Linked DNA regions of Canis lupus familiaris. The protein of the gene in region 1 interacts with the protein of each later gene in a biochemical or structural test. Links are inferred from orthologs where the notes say so. Each region holds a gene or a part of one and is shown on either strand. Other genes may lie near its edges.

Region 1 (4,279 bases):
GCCCCAGCCCCAGCCCGAGCTCCAGCCCCAGCCCCAGCCCCAGCCCCAGCCCCAGCCCCAGCCCCGGCCCGAGCCCCGGCCCGAGCCCCAGCCCCAGCCCCAGCCCTAGCCCGAGCCAGCCTGAGCCCCAGCCCCAACCCGAACCCCAGCCCGAGCCCCAGCCCCAGCCCCAGCCCCGGCCCGAGCTCCAGCGCGAGCCCCAGCCCGAGCCCCAGCCCCAGCCCCAGCCCCAGCCCGAGCCCCGGCCCCAGCCCCGGCCCCAGCCCCAGCTCGAGCCCAGGCCCCAGCCCCAGCCCCAGCCCCGGCCCCAGCCCCAGCCTCAGCCCGAGCCCCAGCCCCAGCCCGAGCCCCGGCCCCAGCCCCAGCCCCGGCCCCAGCCCCAGCTCGAGCCCAGGCCCCGGCCCCAGCCCCAGCCCCAGCCCCAGCCCCAGCCCCAGCCCGAGCCCCGGCCCGAGCCCCAGCCCGAGTAGCCCCGGGGAAGGACGGTAGCGCTGCGCAGCCAAACAGTGCAAGTCCAACGAAACCACGGACTTTTCGTGTGAATAAACAGCCTGTCAGTCTGCTTTTCATTCCCAAGTGGTCCCCGATCCAACGCGTTTCCGCTCCCGAGGAACAACTCGGGGTCCTCCGCCGCTGCTGGGGCCTCCCGCGCCCGCCGCCCGCAGGGCCTAGGAGAGCGCGTCGGCTCGGCCGGCGAGGACCGCTGCAGACCCACCAGCTAATCCGAAATGCAAGCGCAGGAGGAAGACGCAGCGGTTACGACTTCCCGGGTGCTGCCAGAATCGGAGCAAAAGGGTTCAAGGAAGGGAGGCCGGGGACGGGCGACAGCCCCTCTCCCACCTCCCTAGAGAATATAGTGTTTCGCTCCGCCCCCCCCCCCCCCCCCCCCCCAGTAATTCTTCCCCTAATTTCCTCCCAAGTCTACCAACAGCCTCCTGGCGCTGAAATCTTCACTGCATTAAGGCCAGAGCCTGAAGGGGGGGGGGGGGGGGGGGCTGTGTTGCACTACATCCTCCCTCTTCCAGGGTCCCCGTGGATGAGATTTGGATCAGTTTTCCAACAGTTTCAACGTTCTGTATTCAGTCCCCCAGCCCACAGCACTCGCATCTGCACGCGGTGCTCAGTGCGGGTGGCGAAGCCCCCGGTGACCGCCCCGGGGACCACCCACGCAGACCCTTCCTTATGCTTGTCATCAGCCGGTTGTTAACAGCGGGTAGAACGGGCAGGGGCGGGGGCACTGTGCAGAGCGAGAGCGGAGGGCCTGGAAGGCCTGGGGACGCCGGACCAGAGAGGCTGGGGGGCGGCGGGGGCGGCGGAGGGGAAATGCGCTGAAAACCCAGGCAACAGCCCGGCGGGGTGGGCATTGTTCCGGCCCGAAAGGGCGGAGATGGTCGAGCCCGCCCGCTGACTTTGTGCATCTCTTACTCTATCCTTTGTGGAATCAGCCTCTTCCCGCTCCCCTGCCGGAGCCCGGGCCGTGGGCGGCTCTCGAGCACTGCCCTGGGAATGCAACCCCCGCGGCTCGCGACTCGCCACCCGGTTTCTCCAGGCTGCGGGAGCACTGACGCTCGCGCGCGCCGCGTCCGGCTGATCCTCTTAGCTGCTCTGCAACGATTCCGAGCCAGTTCAGCAGCGTTTTAGAAGGTAGCAAAGACGAGATGCTTTTTCTTTCCTTTTTCTTTTTCTTCCCCCCTACCCCCCGCCCCGTCCTCTCGTTTTATTTATTTATTTTAAACTAACCCGTCATTTCTTCTTGGAGGGTCCAAGAAGAGCCCACGACCTCTTTACTGTGTCTAACCCAGGGATTTCAAACGGGGCTTTTCAGAATTTAAGTGTGGTCGCCCTAATTGGTAATCAAGATTGTGGAGTCGTTCAAAATAACCCTTTCCATTTTCTGTAATTAGAGACCAAAAGAAACTCTGGATTTTCCACGATACATCATCTATATTTATTCATATTCTCTCTCTTCCCCCTCCCTTCCTCCCCCCCCCTCCTCATGCGCGTGTATGCGCGCGCTGGTGCGTGCGTTTCCTTTTATTTCTACATTAGGAAACTCGTTCAGGGATGAACTGAACTGAAAAGTGAGGAGAGGCTCAAATCTGATCTCTAACGGATTCCTTCCTCTAATGTCAGATAATGCCCGGAAACGTTGCCACCAAATAAGTAGGAGAGCATTATTTTTGAAAAGCAGTTAACCCCTACCAAAATATAAAACGCCAGAGGAAAGAAGGTGAGACTGGAAGACAAGGAAGCCCTTTGCGGTCGCTGGTGGAGGAAGCGCGACTCTGGGGACCGGCTGGGTTCCAGTCCGTGTGCTTCAGCACCGGAGGGGATGGACAGCGTCTCCGGCCTGGGCTGCTGCCGCCCGGACACAGCGGAGCTGCCGTCGCCGCCACTGCCGTCGCCGCGGGCATCTGGGCTCCCTGCTCTTCGCAGCTAGAAGGAGGTGCCGCCTGACACCCCTTGCCCCCCCCTCCTTCCTTGATAGACGAAAACCCTCTTTATCCACCTGCTATAGCTACCATACAGGGCTCTGAGGAGTCCTCTTGTTCCACAGATTAAACTCTGAGCAACAACTTCAAGAATAATTCTCCGTAGGGTGTTGGGAGGAATGCAAGCTGGAGAGTGAAGTTGAAGTTCTTAGAGGCTCCGAAAAACCATGGGCTCTGCAGAAGGGGTTGAAATACTCAAAGGCCCACACTTCATGAAATAAACAGAATGCTCACCAGAGGGTTGCAACTATTTTGTAAATAGCCTTGTGAGAAGAGATTTCAGATCTACTCACATCCCCACGTTAGAGAAACTGAACGACTTCTAATTCCTTTACTTGGCTGGTAAGTGATAATACTATTACTTCTATTTATTTACAACTCTAATGACTTTTTAAATAAAGGTTTTAGCAGAAAGATTGCAATGAGTATGATCTTGCCTTGTGGATTAAGGAGTAAATAATTTTATTTTTAAATGATTGTTCCTGCAGCATGATCTTAGGAAACCTCTTGTCTCATAAAATAGGATATTTTACTTCTCTGAAGCCTCTTATGTGACAAGGATATTAAAAATAATGTGTATTACCTTATATGATTATAGTAAACTCTTGGTTGGGTATTTTACTTACTGATGATCTGATATCTTTTTTTGAATTTGTATGTGTCTTTTTTTTTCAAAACTAGTATAATCTGGCATTTTGTAAAAGGGTTTTTTTTTTTCTTATACATGCACTTTAAAGTGATCTTGTCTGTGTTATGTAGTATTCAAGACCCAAAGTTACAAGTAGAGATGGTTTAGCAACCTTTTTTATTATATTTTATATGATTATAATTTGCCAAATCATGTATAAGAACAAACACATGCATACATACACGCTTGATCCTTCTCTCTTCCCCAGACCCTGAGTATACTTACACCTGTAGAATCTTACCTAAAGAAATACACACATGTTTACTTAGCCATAGTCTTTCCAGCCTTTTAAATCTTAAGACTGCTTATTCAAACCAGATCTGCCAGAAGGGAGAAAATGAGAAGCTTTAGAGTCCCTTTTTAGGAGAGCTGGCTTTTGATATCATTCTGACTTCTTCGTTCTACAAGATGCATTTGTTAATGAAATCCAAAAAGCGATAGGCCAATAGGTCCTTGACAAACCATAAACTTTAAAGTGTTAATTAAATCTGTCTTCTGTTGATTCTTACTTCTAGAGTCTTCCCCTGGAGCTTTCAAGTACAATCTTTCACAGTGACCTTGATAAGCATTCTGCTTTAATAAAAAGGGTTCATGGGTAAAGGCAGTTACACAAATTTATAGCGTATGCCTGACATCTCACTAAGAGGTTGATCAATTCCAATGAGAACATTCAATTCAGTGGAAAGTGTTGACTTGGAAGTATGGACTTCTACAGTCATGTAAATATTGGGGATGCTATATGCATGCCTAACACTGTGGAAATAGTTTGTCCCTTTAAAAAATTATAGTTCTTTAGGTTTCCCTTTTAATTTCATAGTTCATATATAACTGATATAAAATGCCTCTAATACATATCCATACCTACACTCCTCAGTTTCAACACAGAAATCAACTGAGGCAGTTAAGATGGTATTTATTGTTTTCCATTGGCTCAGAGTGGCAGTAACCTTCTGAGGAAAAATCATTCTTAGCTGTCACTTACTGCTTACCATGAACCCGCCTGCTTGGGAGAAAGGGATCAGAGGCATCTATGTCATTGAGCTCCTTGAGGGCTATTTTGTCCTATATAGGTCAGAAATGATAATCTGAGAAAGAGAAA
Region 2 (3,817 bases), on another chromosome or scaffold:
CACATAAAACACAGGCAGTTACAAAGTTAATACCTATGAAAGTGACTTCTAAGAGATTCCAAAACGGATATAAGGAGAATAATTTAAGAAACATAGATTTGTATTTACTGATCTGTAGTTATCATTACCAGGAAACTATTAAAGACAGTATTATTACCAGAAAAAATACCAAAAGTGTGGAATATCTGGCATTTACAATGAATCTGCAGAAGGCAATCAAGGCTTTCATACTACACGTTAGACTCCATTCCACAGACAGAGGTGCTACATTTCAAGACACTTAAAATTTTTTTTCTAATCCTCAGTAGAATTTGTTTTTTCAGATGAGAGGCCAGTGACTAAAGTATTCCTTTTTTTTTTTTTGACTGAAGTATTCCAAAGCTAAATCTTACTCCTATCATGTTCTTGAACATGATAAATTAAAAATTAAAAATATTTTTTATTATTTCTGAGAACGTTTAACATTTCAATTTTATTAACATATTACCACAAAGATAATTATGGTAGTGAAAAGCAGCGGGTTTTTAATTACCCTACCAGAAAATGAGAATGAGAACATGTAATGGAAAACAGCGGCTGAGAACATGAAATTGTGTTAAATCAGGGTCAGCTGCTCAATGGTCTTAGGGCACCAGGAAGTCAAAAAATCCCTAACTGAAATTAGAGTAAAGAGGAAACTGGGCCTTCACCAAACTGTGTAATGCTACAACTTCAGGCACTTTACAGGATTGGGCCACATCCCGTACTAAGAATTGGTCAAGTTGTAACAAATCTAGACCTAGTGACAAGTAAGAACTTCTAAAACAAAGCAAGGAAATGTTCATTCTTTAGTTGCCCTGCTTGTGCATTTAAGACAATACAATGCACAGAAAGTTATGTATACATAACACTACAAGGAAGCATTAAATTAGAAATGCATTATTTTTTTGCAAGTCCAATTGGTATGAAAGTCAACATGCAAATAAATCTCAATACAGAAAGAAACCAGAAGCATTAGGGGGAGAGGAAGGAAAATAACTGGGACAGGATGGGGGAGCCTTAAGGAGTACCACCCCAGAGAACAGGGAACATACAGAAGATGCTGATCGGCCAGGCCCCCGCTGGGCTACAATGGCACCAGAGACGGCTTTAATCCAACTGTGCATCTCCTCAGGACTATCAGCCTAAGGGAGAGAAAGGACTCATTCAGTCAGTTTGTCCTCAAAATCCGCTCTTACATCCATAAATCCAATGTATTCATCTTGGAAACTTACAGTGCCAACAACAAGATCATCCCAAGGTAATGGTGCCAAAAAATTTTAGAAATCGCTTTTTAAGCCAGGTTTAGCAGGTACGTTATTATAGAGACAGAAGTTGGACACCTGATATTTTAAGGCCAGACACATCAAAAAGTGTCAATATGAATACTTTTTGAGAGAAAATGAGAGGAAGGAGTCACAGACAAACCTCATTTTGCTCCATCTACTGCTATATTGTCTGAATCCATTATAAGGGTATAAATGTTAACTGTAGAGTTAAAAAAACATTTTGACATCATGTTATGTATTATTTTTCTAAACAGCATTTCTAGGACTCCACTAAATACGGAAAAAAGTACTGGTAGTCATATTCCAAAGTATCATATTCCTTGATAGGCCATGGCCTTCCAATATGAATTTAAAACTTTACTATGACTTTAAATCCACTTAAACAGGCCCTGAGAGGGGTGTACATACTGCCCTTCACTTCTGTTCCAAAATTTTAAGTCACAAGATACTCTTTTGAACCAATGATTTTTAGCAAGGAATTTTAACAGGAAAAATTCAAAGCAGGCAAAGGTAAAGCACAAATCCAGAAATCAATTTGGCAAAAAAGGGGGTTTAAAAAGATTTATGCTCTGACAGTTATTCTTGATCTAGAAACTTAACCTAAAGAAGAAATCCAGGCAAACTTAAACACAAAACTGTTCACCACCACACGCTGATCATAGCAAGTGTACAAAAACTATGAAAACAATCAGTTACAGAGTAGCAGAGAAACAGTTTAACCATGGAGCATCCCTATAATAGAGCATGATGCAGTCCTAAAAGTTTTTACAGGATTTTTAATGATGTGGGAAAAAAGACTATTTAATACATTAACTAGAATATATCACCATGTGCTTCATATGACCCCACTTGTTATAAAAACATATGCCTTTAAAAAGGTACTAAAATAAGAATAGTTTCCTGAATGTGGGATTTGGGTTTTATGTCATTTCTTCATATTTTTTTCTATTTTCCAAATTTTCTGCAATAATCATATGTAACTTTTATAAAGCAAAAACAAATGTCCTCTAAAAAAAAAAAAAAAAAAAAAACCTTTAAATCTAACTAATTCGCTGTGGTAAATAAAAAGTGTATTTTAAACTTAAATACAAAATGTCTATCTATGTCTATCTATGGTCTATTTTTATTGTGGGAATTTTAGATCCTATTTTTTTAATTACCAAAAATGATACAATCAAAACTCCAAAATATGTGCAAAATGATCCGAACTGAAAGTTGGGGTTTAAGTTAAAACAGTATTTCCCTTCCCACAAATACTACTTAATTTCTATTGTGCCAATTTGGAGCAAAAAGTACCCCTAATTTGCTAAACATATGACTTACCAATAATTTTATATATAGCTTTTTTTAAAGTTGTGAATTACAGTTGCCATGTTTTTCTTATTTGCATAAGCAATAAATTTATTTATATTTATTTCACTTCTAAAATTATTAATCTCTTGGTAGGAGAATCTATAATCGCCAAAAAAGTATCTCACCTGCACATAGAAAGTTCGAGACGATGTTACAATTTCAAAGAGATTGTCCCTCATCATTATGTCACTGTCAACAAAAACAAACGTCCAATTGCACGTAAATAGCAGTTGTTGGATAGTGTTTCTTTCACTTGTTTATCTAGTACCAAATATATGTCAATAAGAAAATAAATAGAGATAAAATACTGGTGTCATTGAGTAAAACCAAATTAGCATCTTTTTCAATTTATTCTTACATTAAATTTCACATATTTTATATAGTTATACATATTTTTAGAAAAGGTTCATAAAAGAAGTTTCAAATTCAAAGTTTTCTACTGCTCATAAATCAGTTTGCTCAAAGAAACACTGGCACAGTTAACACATGTCCTTACAAAAAGCTCTATTCTTCAGCAGCTTCCAAATATTAAAACTAGTAAAACATCAGTCTGCCAGATATGACAAATTATTCATATTAAATTCTTTCCTTCCCATTGATAAGCCTAGGGATTCTTAATTTTTAGTTTTCAAGTGAAACAAAAAATATCTCAAAACTTTAACCTGAGGATTTTGTAAGTTCAAGCATATCCCAACAATGAAGAGTTGAAAACAACACTAGAAAAAACACAGAAAAATATCATCTGTACACATCAATCAAACCTAGGCCCCGATGAGTATTAATTAGATGTTCCAGGCACTAAGGGAGGGCTGGTGCTTACCTCTGCTTACACTCCTGGACTTTATGAACCTCTTTAAGTGGTATTACACGGAGGGGTTCTTTCTCCTGGCAAAAAAGCAAACAGATACATGAGGTATATTCTCAAAATCCTTTTAAGAATTAGTTGTCTTACTTGGAGATCTGTATGAAAACTGCTTCTTTCTTGACCTAAATCTACCTTCCAGAACCGACCAGCATCAGAGTAGCTCAAACACTAGAACTTTATAAACACTGTAGTTTGAAACAAGGAAACTAGCATAGAACCCTTATTCACACTATTTCTGGTCTTAATGACAGTGTAGCTTACTAAAAGCCATTAAACCATCAGACTTTACCCC

Evidence for each region.
Region 2: the proteins of SNTG1 (region 1) and PLEKHA1 form a complex in vitro, tested with the Homo sapiens proteins (2 studies listed by BioGRID and IntAct, with this or other methods). The link is inferred for Canis lupus familiaris from reciprocal best matches to the Homo sapiens genes SNTG1 and PLEKHA1.

Annotation. Positions count from the first base shown.
Region 1 is NC_049250.1:2,296,671-2,300,949, forward strand, and holds the start of SNTG1 (gamma-1-syntrophin), read left to right. Parts: upstream 1-1,376; 5' UTR 1,377-1,644; intron 1,645-2,049; 5' UTR 2,050-2,834; intron 2,835-4,279. UniProt on the Homo sapiens protein: Adapter protein that binds to and probably organizes the subcellular localization of a variety of proteins. May link various receptors to the actin cytoskeleton and the dystrophin glycoprotein complex.
Region 2 is NC_049249.1:32,368,043-32,371,859, reverse strand, and holds part of PLEKHA1 (pleckstrin homology domain-containing family A member 1), read right to left. Parts: intron 3,546-3,817; coding exon 3,481-3,545; intron 2,850-3,480; coding exon 2,786-2,849; intron 1,164-2,785; coding exon 1,074-1,163; intron 1-1,073. UniProt on the Homo sapiens protein: Binds specifically to phosphatidylinositol 3,4-diphosphate (PtdIns3,4P2), but not to other phosphoinositides. May recruit other proteins to the plasma membrane.